3 linked regions of the Arabidopsis thaliana genome follow. The protein of the gene in region 3 interacts with the protein of the main gene of each other region in a biochemical or structural test. Each region holds a gene or a part of one and is shown on either strand. Other genes may lie near its edges.

The links.
Region 1: the proteins of MPK4 (region 3) and MKS1 form a complex in vitro, tested with the Arabidopsis thaliana proteins (one study listed by BioGRID).
Region 2: the proteins of MPK4 (region 3) and AT2G33550 form a complex in vitro, tested with the Arabidopsis thaliana proteins (one study listed by BioGRID).

What each region holds. Positions count from the first base shown.
Region 1 is NC_003074.8:6,427,864-6,432,932, reverse strand, and holds MKS1 (MAP kinase substrate 1), read left to right. Parts: upstream 1-2,418; 5' UTR 2,419-2,509; coding exon 2,510-3,178; 3' UTR 3,179-3,399; downstream 3,400-5,069. Other genes in the region: AT3G18700 (uncharacterized protein), read left to right, coding at 28-168, 255-308, 434-521, 613-678, 1,036-1,211; AT3G18680 (Amino acid kinase family protein), read right to left, coding at 3,413-3,801, 3,885-4,111, 4,223-4,314, 4,679-4,732, 4,827-4,968. UniProt on the Arabidopsis thaliana protein: Regulator of plant defense response. May contribute to MPK4-regulated defense activation by coupling the kinase to specific WRKY transcription factors.
Region 2 is NC_003071.7:14,208,829-14,214,636, reverse strand, and holds AT2G33550 (Homeodomain-like superfamily protein), read left to right. Parts: upstream 1-2,943; 5' UTR 2,944-3,149; coding exon 3,150-3,738; intron 3,739-3,826; coding exon 3,827-3,871; intron 3,872-4,146; coding exon 4,147-4,457; 3' UTR 4,458-4,655; downstream 4,656-5,808. Other genes in the region: BUBR1 (BUB1-related (BUB1: budding uninhibited by benzymidazol 1)), read left to right, coding at 1-35, 153-327, 422-507, 582-668, 764-827. UniProt on the Arabidopsis thaliana protein: Transcriptional repressor that binds DNA and plays a negative role in regulating microbe-associated molecular patterns-(MAMPs, e.g. flg22, elf18, chitin, and LPS) triggered immunity (PTI) by negatively regulating immune gene expression.
Region 3 is NC_003075.7:563,718-571,373, forward strand, and holds MPK4 (MAP kinase 4), read left to right. Parts: upstream 1-3,199; 5' UTR 3,200-3,501; coding exon 3,502-3,674; intron 3,675-3,805; coding exon 3,806-3,935; intron 3,936-4,003; coding exon 4,004-4,141; intron 4,142-4,330; coding exon 4,331-4,663; intron 4,664-4,743; coding exon 4,744-4,927; intron 4,928-4,999; coding exon 5,000-5,172; 3' UTR 5,173-5,430; coding exon of another isoform or gene 5,431-5,847; 3' UTR 5,848-6,005; coding exon of another isoform or gene 6,006-6,149; 3' UTR 6,150-6,287; coding exon of another isoform or gene 6,288-6,359; 3' UTR 6,360-6,524; downstream 6,525-7,656. Other genes in the region: BPS3 (BPS1-like protein), read left to right, coding at 1,430-2,476; AT4G01380 (plastocyanin-like domain-containing protein), read right to left, coding at 5,431-5,847, 6,006-6,149, 6,288-6,359; AT4G01390 (TRAF-like family protein), read right to left, coding at 6,525-6,673, 6,757-6,923, 7,012-7,294, 7,397-7,545, 7,639-7,656. UniProt on the Arabidopsis thaliana protein: The ANPs-MKK6-MPK4 module is involved in the regulation of plant cytokinesis during meiosis and mitosis. Essential to promote the progression of cytokinesis and for cellularization (formation of the cell plate) during male-specific meiosis.

The sequences.
Region 1 (5,069 bases), on a different chromosome or scaffold from region 3:
TTGGTGTCACCATTTTTTTCTACGACAATGCCTACTTCCTACACATCCTTCTCTGCTCAACCCACAAATAACAACTGGTTTTTGTTGTTCAACATCTTCTTCTCTTCCCTTCTTGTTATTGCTCTCCGATTTTTCGATCAAGATGTCTCAGATCGCTACAGTTACAAGGTATCCAAAGTTACCACATAAACTCTATACAACAACCCTAAATTCCTCTGAATTGCGAGTAAAGTTCTATGTTTTTTTGTTTGCAGTTCATGTTTCTATACCAAGGAGTTCAAAATCTCCTCTGTATCTTGAAGAGAATCGTCCGATAGATGTTTAATGAAGTCTTTACCGCGCTCGCCATTTTTTATCTCTGCAAGGAATCTCTAAAACACCTGCTTTATAACTTGAATGTCAAATCCACATGCCGAGGAGAAATCCTCAGCAGGACAATGGTTTGAAGTTTTTAGAGAATGCATTCCTTGTGAAAAAACAAATTGGATTAAAGTTTAAGAACATCAAAACTAACATGAAAGGTGAGATTTTTTTGTTAAATACTTTCAGATGCTACTTTTTCTATGTTGTTTTTGTAATAACTTTTTCAACTTCCTTTTCTTAATCTTTTAGAGAAGGCAGTCCTTGTGGAAAATGAAATCGGATTAAAGTTTAAGAACATCAAATTTGAAGTGAAAGGTGAACTTTTTTTGTTTGTTTGTTAGTTTCATATCCAAATTTTGGTAGTTTGAAAACAAAAGTTCCAACTTTTCATAGTCACGTTCATATCTACATCTATAATAACTGTTAGTAGTTTCAAATGCAACGTTTTGCTCTGTTTTATTTTGGAACCATGACAATAGAAATTGTTTCGTTTGCATGTATAACCAGACACTAGTAAACATTCTCTAGAAACTATGCAAAACACTAAACAACTCAATGACTATGAATATGTTAGAATTTTTAAAACTTAGCTTTCTTCATACCAAAATTGTAAATACAAAGCCATTGAGTCTACCTTCGACCTGTAGTGTTTGGTGGATGTGGTTCAGCAAGGCGAGGAGTACCCATGTCCGTCGTTGCCAGCCCTCCCTGATACTAAGGCATCGTCAAATTCGGACCTCGATATGGCGCCGAACCACGAGTACCAAGTGTCTGTCAATTCCCCCACACTACTCAACGACAGTACTGGAGAGGTTTCTAAAGGACCATGTTGGAGTCATCTTCTATGAGTAGTTTATCTTTTTAAATTAGTAGCTTTCAAACAATCCTAAATTTGTAGTTTTTAAACTAAATAAAAATTTAAAAAATATATCTATAGTTATTAATTTAGGGAATAAGTTGAAAATAAGTCACTTTTTCAAAATAAATTTATAAAAGTATTCACTTTACTATTATAATATACAAAGTAGTCATTTTTCGTACACATAAATTTATACAATACATTCAATATACAAAGTATATATATTTATATATATATACTAAAAGTATTGTACATATGTAAGTATACGAAAAATGATTACTTTACAATTATAAATAATAAAATGACTACTTTTAAAATTATGTTTTAAAAAGTAACTACTTTCTCAATACACTCTTATTTTATTCGAATTGTTTGAAAATATTATTACACTCGAAAGTTTCAAACTTTGATCAGCTATTTTCTTGGACCAAACTAGAATTGATATGGGCTTTGGATAAACAAATGAAAGCCTGTTAGCAACCATCCTCATAATATATGTTCATTGTTATCATTATCTATATATGGAAAAATTATTAGACTAGTAATATTTTTATGTAGAAATGTTTTTAACCAAAGCCAGTTTATTTTTCTTTTATCAGGTAACTTAATAAAATCATTTATGTTTCAACGAGGACTAGTATGTTTATGTAGATCTTATTTGGTCATAGGTTCAATTTCGTCTTCTTTTTTTGCTGACAAAAGACAACTAAATATCTGATTTCTATGGGTAGATACTTAATTACTTAGTCTTCTAAGTATATATATTTAACTCACCCTATACAATATACATGTTTTTGTTTTTTTTAACAACTCATATGATAGGTCTTAATTAGGTTTGTTACTTCTATGCATGCAGACGTTAATAGCTTAGCTAGGTACTAAGAAAGAAAGAAATTGATTGTTACCATAATTTGCAACTTCTAGAACTTGTAAAACTTAAATAGAACTATCACTAATAATTGTATGTTAATGATTGACAACATTACTAATATATATAACTGTGTGCCGTTGATAATGTTGATTCCTAAGATCTTTCCTACTAATTAATTATCTAACATTAAGACAAGAATGGAAGTTTCCTAATTAAGCATGTGCTGTAACAATTTGGTTGGAGACACAAAAAGTCAACATTTTTTAAAGTCAAACTAATCGTTCTGATGACTTTTTATTTCTTTCTCTTTTTTGTTGTTTTGGTCAATTTTCTCAGTCGCCAAAACATTCAATTCCCAAACCAAACAGAGCAGAAGAACAACAAGTTTTGATTCTAAAAAAGGAAGCTTCCCAAGTATGGATCCGTCGGAGTATTTTGCCGGCGGCAATCCTTCCGATCAACAGAACCAGAAGCGGCAGCTTCAGATCTGTGGTCCTCGTCCTTCACCTCTTAGTGTTCACAAAGACTCTCACAAAATCAAGAAACCTCCAAAACACCCTGCGCCGCCGCCAAATCGTGACCAACCGCCGCCGTATATTCCTAGAGAGCCGGTGGTTATCTACGCCGTATCCCCCAAGGTTGTACACGCAACCGCGTCTGAGTTCATGAACGTAGTCCAGCGACTCACAGGGATCTCCTCTGGTGTTTTCCTCGAATCTGGCGGCGGTGGAGATGTTTCACCGGCGGCGAGGCTAGCGTCCACGGAAAATGCTAGTCCAAGAGGAGGAAAAGAACCGGCTGCGAGAGATGAGACGGTGGAAATCAACACGGCTATGGAAGAAGCAGCTGAATTTGGTGGTTATGCTCCGGGAATACTCTCGCCATCTCCGGCCTTGTTGCCAACAGCTTCTACCGGGATATTCTCTCCGATGTATCATCAAGGTGGGATGTTTTCGCCGGCTATACCACTGGGATTATTCTCGCCGGCGGGATTTATGAGCCCGTTTCGAAGTCCTGGCTTTACTAGTTTGGTAGCTTCACCAACTTTTGCTGATTTCTTTAGTCATATTTGGGATCAAGATTAGATTTTTTTTTGGTGTTTTGCTCTGTAATTTTTTTGTATTATGTATTTTGACATATCCAATGTAGTAGCCCAAAGGGTTTAAAATGAGCTTCATGTATAAAAAGATTAACTTTCAAAAATTTCAGACAGATTCCTAGAATGTAAAACTTGTCTGCAAACTAATATATACAGGAGTTACAAGATTCTCCTGACCTAAGATACTCTAATAAGTTTTGTGTTTTGAGAATAGGCTTCTTCATGAGGTTGTTGTAACAATGGAGTTCCAAGTTCCTCCTATCAATGTACCAACTCTCTCTCCTTTGATTGCTTTGGCGATGTTCCCAGGTTCCGAAAGATTGAATACCACAACTGCAAATTGACACAGAACTAAATAAGCATTCTTGTTGTATTTTAGATGATCATGTATGCATGTGGTCAAGGTTTGAGAGAGTGTTATAGAAAACAAGCCTGGGATGTTATTTTCTTGGCACAAAGTGATAGCAGTCATATCCATTACAGAGAGGTCCTTTGAGGTGACCTCTTGGTAAGTTAGTGAGTCAAGCAGACGAGCGTTTGGGTTTCTTTTAGGATCATCGTCGAACACGCCATCAACATTTGTTGCTTTCAGCACTACTTCTGCATTAACTGTGTCCAATGCGAAAAGTTTTTTTTTAGTGTTGCGAATAATCATTGGAGAAAACTTAAACGGAAACCACCTCTTTACTTACTTTCAGCACATCGAAGAGCCGCTGCAGTATCGGTGGTGAAAAATGGATTGCCTGTTCCAGCTGCAAATATTACAACCCTTCCTTTTTCTAGATGTCTGATTGCTCGTCTTCTTATGTAAGGCTCTGCGACTTCCGACATGCGGAAAGCAGTTTGAACACGGGTTGGGATGCCAATACTCTCCATTGTCGCTTGAAGAAATATTGCATTCATCACAGTTGCCAGCATCCTATCCAATTTCAGATAAACCAATGAGACCAAAAACCTCCAGTAGAGGAAAATTCTGGATCTTCTCCGAGTAAGAAGAAGAAGATCCTTTGACACAAAGGCGTATGATTACCCGATATAATCAGCAGAGGAGCGATCAAGGCCACTGCACCCAGCCCAGGTAGATCCACGAAAGATATTTCCTCCTCCAACAACTATAGCAACCTATTGTAAAGGCGTAAGAAGATCAGACAGAGCACACACAACATTGCAATGATTCTTAATGACCCAGACACATGATCTGTTGCCGTATAGTATGTTTAAATCATAACAAATTTCTAACTTTAAGTTGTGTAATGCCATATATCTCCACCCCTTAACTTAAGCTCCCGTTTCTTGTAAGTTTGAGCTAATTGATTTCCAGCATATTTGGTTACATCTACACAGGCAATTATCAAATACTTCGGGTATTATACTTATGTATAGGAAGAACTCAAAGCTGAATACATATCCACTAAAAAATTTTGAATCCAATTATCACAATGACAACTAGAACAAGAATGTTTGAATGAAGCGTTTAGAGAATAACCTCAATGCCAAGTCGAGTCACTGCTGCAACTTCCCTTGCAATCGCCATAGTAACCTAATTAACGGGAAACTGGATGAGACTTCTGAAGTAAGGAAACAGAGAACAAAGAAAGCAAAACAAGGAGGGTTCTTTTGGTATCACAATAAACCTTTGGGTCGATATTTTGCTCCTCGTCTCCAGCAAGAGCTTCTCCACTGACTTTGAGTAAAACCCTTCTCCATTTAAGCGGTGGTTTGGATGTTCCATCAAAGGAAGGCAGTCGTGGGAAAGATGATTGCCCGTTTAAGCTACTGAAAATTACAGATGATCGCAACAGAGTATTAACAAAATCAGCCAAAGTTCCAAACATTATAAATGGGTTAAGTTTTACTTCAACCAAAACAATAAAATC
Region 2 (5,808 bases), on a different chromosome or scaffold from region 3:
TCTAACCCACAAGCCAAAAAGCTAAAGCCAAATCAGTAAGTAGTTTGATTGGTTCTATATTTCTCGTTGTTTTCATTATCTGCATTTTCTATCAACTCATACCTTTAAATTATTCTGCAACTCACTATGGTAAGCAACTTTGTCTTTTGCAGATCATCCAAGACACCTTTTGCTATCTACGCAGATGCAGTTTCAGACACCACATCAGGGAATCAACCAGAGTCAGACAAGTCAAGACCAGAGTTTGGTAGTTGGCTCATGCTTGGAGGCAGAGCAGAGAGGAACAAAGAAAACAATTCTTTACCTAGAAAATGGGCATCATTCAAGGTTTTCCCTCTACCCTCCTAAACAAAACTATCTCACTTGGCTCATACTATCTCTATAAATTGATCACTAACTGCATTTATATTTATTGTCACAGGTTCCTCAGAAACCCATTGTGAGAACTGTTGCAGCAGCATCTGCTTCCACCTTTGAGGTTTTTGTCGATGAAGAAGAATGTACAGAGTAAGTTTGACTAATTTTTCAGAAGTTTTCTGAACAAAACATGTTTCCACCATTAACATGATTCTGAAATGCAGAGAGGAAGAAGAAAAGAAGAAGAATGATGAAACTATCTCATCATCATCAAACGTTCTGCCCCTTAATGGCGGCCGTGAGATAAAAAAGTAAGCAAAAAAATTCCCCTAAAGATTCATTCACCAAACAAATATTATATCATGACTTGGTAGAGATCTAACAATGGTTACTTAAAAAAATGCAGAGAAACAGAGCTGCTACGACAGAACCCTTTAAGACATTTCCCACCCAACAGCTTCCTACGATGATGATATTGGACTTTCTTCTCTACACGATCTTATGGTTTGAGATTTGAGCTTTTGTCTATAAAGCTCCTTGTGTGTTTTTGCCTATTTGGATTTGTTTTTGTGATGTACTGGGATATACTATCCTACTATGTACCATGATGTGCCTTTCATGTTTTGAAATTAATGTGACTTGTCTTGTTTCAATCCTTATATGATTTGTTTCTCCTAAAGTAATCATTCTACAAAAAAAAACTTTATATCAATTTCCACTAATTAACCTAGATTACCACTTATGATTAAACTTAAGGAATCATTTTAATAATGCCCTAAATGTGGCCAAGTCATTGGTTTATATGGCAAGTGACTTTGTGATCCCAATAATTTTTTGGTCTAGTCGTCTAGGCAACTAGCGTACCTTTGTTTTAGAAAAATTCTAGAGTTTCATTGTAAATCAATGGATACGTATGGATGGGTACAAACTAGAAAAGATAATCAATCCATTGGGCATTTCTTCCATAGAAAATAAAGTGGCTTTAAACGGATGGGAGGGGGCATAAAACATAATCAAGCATTAATAGCCATTTAAATTAATGATTAAAAACGAATGATGCGATTTTGGAGATAGACTTTGAGTGGTAAACAAGGGCAAATGAAAAAAAAAACTTGGGAATTTTATTTGGTGTTAGTGGTAGGGGCATCATTTCATTTCACAATCTACCCTTTAGGGGTTTTAAGGGTTCCCTTTAATGCAAAGTATTGCATTAAGTACGTAGCTAAACATTTATACGACTGAGTCAAGATTTCTAATAAAACAAAAAACAAATTCTATGCGTAAGATGAAATTCTATATTCAAACAGAAATGGTATTTACGGTATCGATGTCTCTTGGTTTTTATTTTATTGGCTTTAGTTTCATGTCCTCTTACTAGCAAGCTTGAACAAAACATTGGCATTGGTTCTCTTTCTCCATCTCAAAGAACATTATGGTTTAATCTTGATTTGATTTATACATGTTTACCCTTAGTCATGTGTGTTTCATAAATCATATCTCCATTTTGGATTTGATCTATTTCATAGAAAACTTTGCTCTATAGTTCTAGAGCTCTAGAGTTTCTCTTTCTACTTGTCAAAAATCATAAACCTTAACATGTAGTAGTGATATCTCTGTTTTTCTTTTCTTCTTACAAACCTTAAACAACAAACTTTTTTTTATCATGATTTTTTTTCTTATTTTTAAACCCTCAAAAGTGAATATATTGATATATCTATCTCTACTCGTCAGCAAGCTTTCCTCATGCTTCTCTCGTCATTCATTTGCTTTTTCATAATGATGTTGTCTTATTGTCTACATTGTTTTAAGGAACGGTTAGCTACGATTTGTTTATACATTTAAGTAGGCTCAGAATTATGCCAACAAAAGATAGTTTCAGAGTTTATTGCAACAAAAAATAGTTTACAAAAAGGGTCCCAAAACCCATTTAATCATTTAAATGATTTAGGGTACTGTTACTAATTATGATATGTGACTGTTGAAAACTTCTACAATGTTTATAGCATTTTTTGTAATGGAACTCCCAAAAACCCTGAGGGCTCTTAAAGATCACTAGGTTATTAAAGCAGAGACTCACTAATATTGTCATTATCTTAAGCTGACAAAAACGTAGAAAAATCCAAAAAAATAAATGGCGGAGGAAATTGACCAAAACGCATATATAAGGATTATGGAGTAAAAGCAACTTATGGTAGTTGGAGAGAAATTAACCAATAGAAATACTCAAAGGGCGCGTTTATTGCCATAATCTACGCCCCCTCCATATTTACACACAACCATATCATAATATTACCAAATATGAAAATTATATGTGCATTATCTTTATTACATAAACAATAAATACAGTTTATTATTAATATAAGAAAAAGATAATTTTTGATTTTATTTTTAGAGTGATCTTGGCCGTAGAAAATGAGGTGATGAAAGTGATGTGTCAAAAAAATCAGGAAATAGCCATATCAAGCATGTAATCCCTAATTACGGTCTAAAGGAATTAAAGATTACGGTCTACTTAAATTCAACATATCTACATGAACCTTATGAAAGGCTTAAGGGACGAAATTAAAATAAAATGATAACACAAGGGTCAATTTTATCTACAGTCACCAAATTAAAAATCAGATTAAGATACATTAAAAAGTCATTATCTCACAAAATAAATCTTTTCTTTGCTCTTTCATTTGTAGCTCCTCTCTCTCTCCGGCGCTAACGGGATGTCCTCACCATAACGCCGTTAAGTCTGGAACCCGTTTGAACGGAATTATCAAAACGGGAAGGAATATTCCGTTTGAATGGCTCTGGAACAGTTAGGATTAGGAGTGAGCGCCGTTGACGGTGGAGAGAACAGTAGCGCGCCGTCAAATGACGGTGGAGATGACGGCGTTAAGACGGCGAGACTTCCTCGTTGGACGAGACAAGAGATTCTGGTTCTGATTCAAGGGAAGAGAGTGGCGGAGAACAGAGTCCGGCGAGGGAGAGCGGCGGGTATGGCTCTCGGGTCGGGTCAAATGGAGCCTAAATGGGCTTCTGTTTCGTCTTACTGTAAACGTCACGGTGTAAATCGTGGGCCGGTTCAGTGCCGGAAAAGATGGAGCAATCTCGCCGGAGATTATAAGAAGATTAAAGAATGGGAGTCTCAGATTAAGGAAGAGACTGAGTCCTATTGGGTTATGAGGAATGATGTTCGTAGAGAGAAGAAGCTTCCTGGTTTTTTCGATAAGGAGGTTTATGATATTGTTGACGGTGGTGTGATTCCTCCGGCGGTTCCGGTTCTTTCGCTTGGATTGGCTCCGGCGTCAGACGAGGGATTGTTGTCTGATTTAGATCGGAGAGAAAGTCCTGAGAAGTTGAATTCTACTCCGGTGGCTAAATCAGTTACTGGTAAAATTCAGATCAAAGTTTAAGTTTTTATTTTGTATGTTCATCAGAATGATTCCATTTCTTATGAAGTTCAATTTTTTTGATGAAGATGTTATAGACAAAGAGAAGCAAGAAGCTTGTGTAGCAGATCAAGGTTTGTTTATCTCTCTGTGTGTATTTGCTTGATCTATTGCTCTATATGCTAATCTCAAACTAGTTTTAGAGCTCTAGAGTGTGTTTCTCTTGAGTCTTGACTATGTAGTTATGTTGTCATGTAGATAAATGATGTTTTCGTATTCTAAAATGCATCTCAAATTGTGTTATAAAAGTAGTTTAACAATCTTCCCTATGGTGTGTGATCTTTTCGTTTATGTTGAAGGGTCTCTATGTTCTTGTTTTTATACTAAAATGTTGAGTTTGAACTTGAAGGTAGAGTGAAAGAGAAACAGCCAGAAGCAGCAAACGTGGAAGGTGGATCGACATCACAAGAAGAGAGGAAGCGTAAACGGACATCTTTTGGTGAAAAGGAAGAGGAAGAAGAAGAAGGAGAAACAAAGAAGATGCAGAATCAGTTGATAGAGATACTAGAAAGAAACGGGCAGTTGTTGGCGGCACAGCTTGAGGTTCAGAATTTAAACTTAAAACTAGACAGAGAGCAAAGAAAAGATCACGGTGATAGCTTAGTCGCTGTTCTCAATAAGCTCGCTGATGCTGTGGCAAAAATCGCGGATAAGATGTAGATTTAGTAAAAGTTAGTTGTATATCACTTTGGCCATTACTTCTCATTCTTCTTCTTCCTTTTTTTTCAATCATTTATCACCATTGTTGATTGAATATTGATGCCACCACAAGAGGTTATTATACACATCTTATATAAACATTGAGATTTATACGGGTTTAGGATATCATTTGCCTTAGTGTTACCTTTTGACTGATTTGAACATCTTGATGTGTTGATGATTTGTTGCATAGCATGAAATTGAGTTTTCATCTTTCTTGCTTCCCCTAACAACAGGATTAATAACATAATATTAAATGGTATACGTAGTCATATGACCCTTGAACATATACAAATAGTTACTCAATTGGTTAGAAAATGACTTTGGTATATGCAGATTGAAGATCTGCCACTTTATGTTGTTTGGTAATCTGATAGCTACTTTGAAAACAATTTCTGTATTTTAACTTCTTCTTTTATAATCTATAGAAATTAAATTGAAACCGTATCTAACTCGAACCAATTTTTTTGTCTGGATTGTAGTGCAACATGAACTATATTTAACATATTATCGTGAGCTTGAATTTGAAACCAAAAGTTGTACTAATACCAAAACTCAGTGATGCAAAATATCAAATAAGTTCCCATATTACTTTGGATTATCTTTCACAAAATAGTTGTTATGCACATAATTCCAGTCCAAATTTGTTTTTTTCGTCAGTTATAATAAAAAGACAAGCAACAGTTTCATAAAAGCCGCACGACATATTTGACCACTGAAATTTATGTACGAACTTCGACTTCCATAGAGGTAAGTTAACTGACAAACTTTTCGAGTCAAAAACTTTGGATCATCAGACACAAAACTAGTAAAGAAAATTCACAGAGATGTCTACTTTCGTCATTTAAAATACCCCTCATCTGGCGCCAATCACACGTCGCGCTGACATAATTTACCTCGTTCGGATCGCTGACGTGTACGGTCTAGATTAAACTCCTTCTCTCAACTAGATTCTCCTTCTTCTTCTCTCTCTCTCCCTTCGTCTATATTTCACATTCTCTTCAAGTTTCGGCCTTCGGAGAAAATAATAAGCATCTCAAAATTTGGATCTGGAGAAGAAAATTTGAAAACTCTCTTGTTCTCTCAAAGGTGGTGGTAGATCTCGAATTGGGAATTTTCGAAATTGTGAATCTTTGAAAAAAAAAGAGTTAAATTGACAAAACATTTCCTTAACTTGAATCTCTGTTTTTTGAATCGTTTAAATTAGAGAAGAACCCTAATTTTTTCTGTTTTGGAGATCTCTTCTCTGGACCGGGGACTAAAGTGGGCGATTTTCGAATTCAAGGTTTTTGTTTCTGAATCGGGTTTGGAT
Region 3 (7,656 bases):
TATTTTTTTTTTGTGTTAGTGAATTATATAATAGTATATATATCATAAACTTATCAGTTATCATAATATTTGAAAATAAGATGTGTGGAAAATAATGTAAAAAGTTTGCGAAAAGTTTTAATTAAGATTGGTTTTTTTGGGTTAGTGAATTATATAATAGCATAGATATCATAATAGTTACATTTTATTGGAAAATTTTCTTTTGTCCTTAAAATTATCTAAGAGATTGAAGCCTTGAAGGTATCTTTTTAAATGTTTTAAAATTATTAGTGTAGTTTCTTAAGGAAATATATTAAAATCTAAAATATATGATGATATTAAATTAATTTTTTCTTTTTCAGAAATATCTCAAAATATATTACCAAAATTGAATAAATTTATATATATACAATTTCGAAATCAATAGCCTGATTTTTATGGAAACTAAATTCATTTAGTAGTAGTTAATTTACTAAATTACCCATGTAAAATTTCATTTAGTTAATTTTAAACTACCCTTATAATGTTGTAGTTCACAAAATACTTCCCAATTAATAGTATAAATACTTGTTTTCAATTTTATACTAAAGAAGAAAATTTATAAATAATATCAAATTACATCTTAAATATATTCAATGATATAAATTAGTTATATTTGTTTATATAATCTATCATATGCTGCCTCTCAGATTCATCGAAGGCTTTCCAAAGATTTCATCTACTTTAGCGCTAAGAAATATATCAAACTCACTTGTCGCTTTGACCCAATAAAAGCCCAACGCGGCCCAGTAATATAAGCTTGAAAAGCAACGTGAGAATGACAAATATACCCTCAAAATAAAGAATTGTTTTAAAGACGAAACCAGAAGTTTATAGCCCTTGGATTGATAAATATCCGGCGGCTATATTTACCACTTTTTCTTATAGAGCGTTATGCTGACAAATGTCAACGATTGAGTGGAAAAATCTACTATAACTGAGACATCAGAACCGTAAACGTGTGTATTTGTCTCTATTCTTCGTCACTGCCGCGTAGGTGAAACGGAAAAATCCTTTACAACTACCAAAACCAACGCGGGACTTAAAGTAGCGATTGCGTTGATCTGCAGCACACGGCACGTTTCTTTGATTCCTCCCTATAAGAACGCGTTTCAAGTTTTATTATCATACACTAAACCCATCTCCTATTTATACTTTCTTTTGGGTTTTTTTCTCTCCTTCATTGAAGTAGCGTAACATTGAAGTAAGCGGTAACATTTCGGAAGAATCTCTTTCTTTAGGTGAGTTTTCGTTAATCTTCGGCGAGTTTGGTTAAAGTAATGGTTTTTGTTCTGTCTTTGCATTCTTGAGATCTATTGATTCGGATTTTGGATTCAGAACAATGTTATTGGTTTGCTCATTGTTTCAGATTACTAACTTTGTTTCTTCTTTCTGTGTGTTTTCAGTTGATATGAGCCAACAACGTACACGCTCTCGGAACCCGTTCAAGATTCTGTTTACGAAGAAGAACAATGCTCGATTATCGCCAAAGCTTCTCTCACTGTTGAACAATTTCGAGACTAACTTGACGGTATCGATTAGAGAACTTGTACCAAAGGATAAGAATGATATCGTTAGTGTTTCTTGGATGATACAAGCCATGCAGTCTCTTTGTGAGACACACAAGAGTATCAGGACGCTCGTGAAGGATTTAGAGGTTCCAGTATCGGATTTGGAGGAGAATTTCATTTATATCTTCTCTGACTTTAGCTTGAAGCGGGAACTCTGCAACGCCTTTACCTCAGAGATATATCATTTGGAACATGGCAATCTATTACTAAAGTTTGCTTTTAGTAAGCTGGAGACAAACAGTGGCAATATTCTTCAGCGTTGGAATCAGCACATGGTTTCCAAGAACCCGAGTATCGAAAACTGGGGCGCGGTTTTGAGTAGGCTGGTTGAATCGATGGATCATCATCATCATATCTCCAAGAAGGGGAAGAAGAAATACTCTGCGGAAGGAAAAGTTCTCTTACGAGTTTTATACGGTGTAAAGGTCAAGACTTTATACATATTCAGCGTGTTTGATGCATCGTTCTCGGGTTCTTCCAAGAATCTCTTCTATCTAACCATTCCAAAGGAGATGGAGGAGCTTCCATGGGTTCAAGCTTTCATGGAACTGCAGAACACTATTAACCCGGAGATCAAAAACACATTTTTATCAGACGGATTCACGGTTATAAAAGATCTCGAGGCTGTTGAAACCGGTGTGAAGAAGCTTTACACAGCGGTACAAGAAGGGTCGGTTCCTATTTTGTTAGTGGAACCATTGGAGAAGTCAGTGATAGAACTTTCGGAAAGGTTTGAGCTAGTCTCCAAGGAAACACGTTGCTTGTCGAAGATGGTGATCTCTGCCCGAGACGCATTGTTGGAGAGCCTGTGGACGAAATGCGCAGAAGAGCTAGGAGTGACATTGCCAACGATGGTTAAAAGTGTTAATATAGAGGAAAAGAGCTAAGACTTGTTTGTGAATATAGAGGAAACATGTAATTATGGTATCGTTGATGTTAAGTAATAACAAATGCAGATAAAAATGAGACTTTAAAACGCTTCAAATATTGATAACTCTCTCTTTTCAATCGGTGCTAAGCTATAACTACATTTTCAAGTTAGTCAGAATTGTGCTTTAGTTCATCTTAGTTGATAATGGATAAGTGATGGGTTTGCTTGAGGCCCATTGTAAATCACTAGACCAAAAAAAATCAGTGTTATTTTCATGGTTACATGATCAATCAATCAAAGCAAACCAGATATTCTAGCTATTAATAATAACAAATGCACCAAACTTCAACATGGTTATATAAGTTGTTTAACCATGATTTTTTAAAAAAAATCAAAATGATGTCATTTTATCTTATACATAAACCTTTTTTCACTAATGGTTTTGGAATCAAAGGTCAGTTTTATGGTCAAAAACAATTTGGCCGCCCATTGACTTGTACACCACCAATATACCAAGTCGTACTTAAATTCTTATTGGAGAAAAGTTGTCATCTAGATTCTTTTAAACTTTATAATATGATATCAAGAACATTCCTACATGAAGTCATTAACTTGTTCCATTCTACAAACTTCATCAATTACATTTTTTCGGCAAAAGTCATAACCATATCTAATCTCTACTTCGTGGGATAACGCGATTTAGTAGAAGCAAACTCCAGTAAACAAAACTTAACCAATTGACTAAAAACACTTACCCGTTCCTCAATTACTTAGAGACACAATCATCGGATATACCCAACTCGATACCATAAACAAAATTGAAAATTGACATTACAAAGAAAAAGAACAAAAACCAAAGAAGAAGACGCAAACCCGGTTTAAGGGTCACGGGTGACTCGAGAGGAGACTTCCTCTTTACCGTTCAATAAAAAAAAAAGGGTAAAGGTAGAGACTTTATAACGAAATGTCAACACCCATCTTCTCGATTCCTCAATTTCTCTAGGGTTCTTCGTTTTCGTTGTTGTGAGGAATTTTGCTCCGATGTCGGCGGAGAGTTGTTTCGGAAGCTCGGGTGATCAAAGCAGCAGCAAAGGAGTGGCTACTCATGGTGGTAGCTATGTTCAGTATAATGTCTATGGCAATCTCTTCGAAGTTTCTAGAAAGTATGTTCCTCCTCTTCGTCCTATCGGTAGAGGCGCTTATGGAATTGTCTGGTGAGTTCCAAAATTAATCAGATTGGGTTTTTGAAACATGTAATGTTCACTTCTGGGGTTCTTAGATTTGGGAATTAGGGTTTTGGAATCTGTTGTTATTATAATAACTTGTGTTGATAATTGTTGATCAGTGCTGCTACAAACTCAGAGACTGGAGAGGAGGTAGCTATCAAGAAGATTGGTAATGCTTTTGACAATATTATCGATGCTAAAAGGACTTTGAGAGAGATTAAGCTTCTCAAGCATATGGATCATGAAAATGTACGTGTTACTAATCATCAGCATCTCTGGTTTTTTTTGTGTGAATCTTATATTGGTTTATTGTGCAGGTGATTGCTGTAAAGGATATAATAAAACCACCGCAGAGAGAGAACTTCAATGATGTTTACATTGTTTATGAGCTTATGGACACTGATCTCCACCAAATTATTCGCTCTAACCAACCCTTAACTGATGATCATTGTCGGGTATGCATCAATCTCCATCTTGCTTATATCTAGCAGCTGAATCTTCTGTTTCTACTTTAGAAGCAGCTGTTATTGTGTTAGAGCATCTGATGAGTATTGCTTGATACTTTATAAGTGAGAGCTAATAAGGATTTCGTTTGTTATGCTTTGAAGTTGTGTTTAGTAATTAGTTTCGATTATGTTTTGCAGTTTTTTCTGTATCAGTTGTTGCGTGGGCTCAAATATGTTCATTCAGCTAATGTATTGCATCGAGATTTGAAACCTAGCAATTTGCTCCTGAATGCAAATTGTGATCTAAAGCTTGGGGATTTCGGGCTTGCGAGGACCAAATCCGAGACTGACTTTATGACTGAATATGTTGTTACACGTTGGTATCGAGCTCCAGAGCTGCTACTTAATTGCTCTGAATACACAGCAGCAATTGATATTTGGTCTGTCGGTTGTATACTCGGTGAAACAATGACACGAGAGCCCTTGTTTCCCGGTAAAGATTATGTTCATCAGCTTAGACTCATCACTGAGGTAATCTAGTTTAGTATGTTTCATCCAAAGAATCACCACTTAGTCTCTCTTCACGGTATTAATGAATCTTTGGAAAGCAGCTTATAGGATCTCCTGATGACTCAAGCTTGGGATTCTTAAGAAGTGACAATGCAAGAAGATACGTTAGACAGCTTCCACAGTACCCTAGACAGAACTTTGCTGCTAGATTCCCAAACATGTCGGCTGGTGCAGTCGATTTGCTGGAGAAAATGCTTGTTTTTGATCCAAGCAGACGCATCACAGGTGAGTTATATTTTATATAACTGCTTCTCTGTTTCTTCGGCTATTTTCTGAACATGTTTTTTGTGTGTGTAGTTGATGAGGCGTTGTGCCACCCATATTTGGCGCCGCTGCATGATATCAACGAAGAACCGGTATGTGTGAGGCCGTTCAATTTTGATTTCGAGCAACCTACTTTGACAGAAGAGAACATTAAGGAGCTTATATACCGTGAAACAGTCAAGTTCAATCCTCAAGACTCAGTGTGAGAGAAAGAGAGAGAGATATATATCCTTAAAAGGAAACTCATCAAAATGCTATGTTTTGTTTTGCTCTGCTTTTGTTATCAAATCTCTGATAAGTTTGATAATATGTCTGTAATTTGAATAACATCCTAAAAAATTGGAAAAAAAGAAAAGAACAACCTTTGAGCTGTGTTTTGCAATAGAGTGTATTTAAATTTCCTTACTTTTTAGTCGAAAGAAAATACAGAGAAGTCTTAACTCTAATTACATCCACTAATTATCTTAATGATGGGGTTGAGGTCCGAAGGTGCGTAACCATCTGTTGAAGCGGTCCATAAGTGACAACTCTATCTTCTTCGTCGGAACATTGGGGACAGGTACGGCTTTGGTGAGTGGTCCGACCACGACTCGTAGCTTAAGCCCAGCGTAACAGTGACCTGGAGTCTTAGAGCTAATGAAATAATGGACTCCTGGTTCTGTGAGCGTGACGAGATCGTGGCCTGTCATGTGCACGGCTACGGGAGAAATCGGGTAGCAGGATATGAATTCAAGGTCCCCGCTGATCTCTAAGACGTCGTTGACTTCGTTGTCGTATTCGAAAAGAAGACTGTCTCCGATCGGAAACTGCGTCTTCTCACTCCATCTGTAATAAAAGTAACTTTCTTGCGGAACACTCCATCCCTTGGAGCCACACCAACTCTGTAGATATTTCAAGGAGGAAGGATCTTGCTCGGTGGTGTTGGAGGAATGGGACGTGACGAGTCATGAACGACAAGAATGTCGAGCTTCTGTCCCGATGCGCATTGAGCATGGTTTGAGCTGATGAACTAGTGAAAACCTGGTTCCGTGAGGGTTACGATATCGTGTCCAGGGTTGTAGACGGCTTTAGGAGAAGAAGAGTCGCAGAACTCGTATTCCAAAGCGCCGGAGACTTGAGTGACGTCGTTGAGGTTGTGATTGTGTTCGAAGATCAAAGAATCCCCAACGTGGAACACAAGTTTCTTTTGGCAAACAAATTATGTCTTTTCTTTTGGCGTTTTTCTCATATATATAGGTAGTAAAAGCAATGGAATGCTCACGATTCCTTGAAAAAAAAACAAGATCTTATTTGCAAAACAAAACTAACAAGAAACAATAACGATTGAGAACCAAGTCTCTATAGTTGATAAACTGGGCTTATGAAATCTTGTAGATTGTCTTGTTATGCCCATAAACTGAAAATACACGCCAAGCACATCATCTTCATCTCCAGCAACACGTACGTCGACACACATCACAAGTCATTACGGCATCAGTAGCTTAGTTACATAATAGTACTATATATATTCTCCAGCATTTTATTCATACGTTATAAATATTTCTTGCTGATTATATAGCTAACAGTAATTAGAGACGGAAATGACATCAAAGTCAACTCCCACATAAAGCTTATCCTTCACCAAATAAGGGTCATCAAGTTCCCCTAGAGGCATGAAATCCGCAAAGCCATGGCGGTCATCAGGTTCTGCACCAAGCCAACCCGAAACTATACGTACCAGGAGAAAAAGATTAGTACTGTATTTAACCATCATGCATCACAAGACTTTCCAAAACATAATAAACACATACTTGTTTTCTCAACATGATTCCTGCTAACTTGATCCAATACACGCAGCTTGAACCTCGCGTAAGTTTTAGTCTTTGGTGCATTATTGACAAACCCTAGTGCCGATAGATACACAGAAAATGATTTGTCTTTTTCACCCATAGACCCTCTTGGATGAACTTTAATTCTCCTGATCAAATATATTGTGATGCATTTTTATTAGTATTATATATAAGTTGTGTTATGTTTTTGGGAAAAAGGAGGAATATAATATCAACCATTTCCGGGTTCCAACGACAAATTCATTAGACTGATGAACGTTTCCAGGGTTGAAGGACGAGAACATGGTCATCATCCAAGTGACTCTGTGATTAAGAGGCTTCTCTATTAAGCTAAAACTTTCCGCTGTTCCGGGTTTAGCAGGTTCAATCCCATGGAACTTGACACCAAACATACAACAATCTCCAATAAGGAAACCATTTTTCTTAAGATCAACAAGAGATATGAACTCACGAAACCCCTCACTACCCAGTTCTTCATTGGTTTCGTATTCATCTCTTCCTGCACATCAACATATATGGACGCCGTATCAAACCTATATACACACAGATGTATGCGTGATTGAATGAAGCAAGAGAGAGAGAGAGAGAGAGTGAGAGAGACCGTGAGTGTGCCATTTTGGCTCAAGTTGACTGACGGCAAGAAGCTCATATGTAAGCGTATCATATACCGGAGCTTGATTCATTAAGTAGAGGGAGACATAATGTGTCCCCTTAGCATTTGTATGGCCATTTGGGTGCACAGAGAGTTTCCTGTTACCAATCAAGTCGTTAAGAGGATGATCACCATCTTTGTTTTCTTTTGTATGTCAATAAGCATAATAACAAGATTATAAACAACTTCACCATTTGTGACCAGCGAGA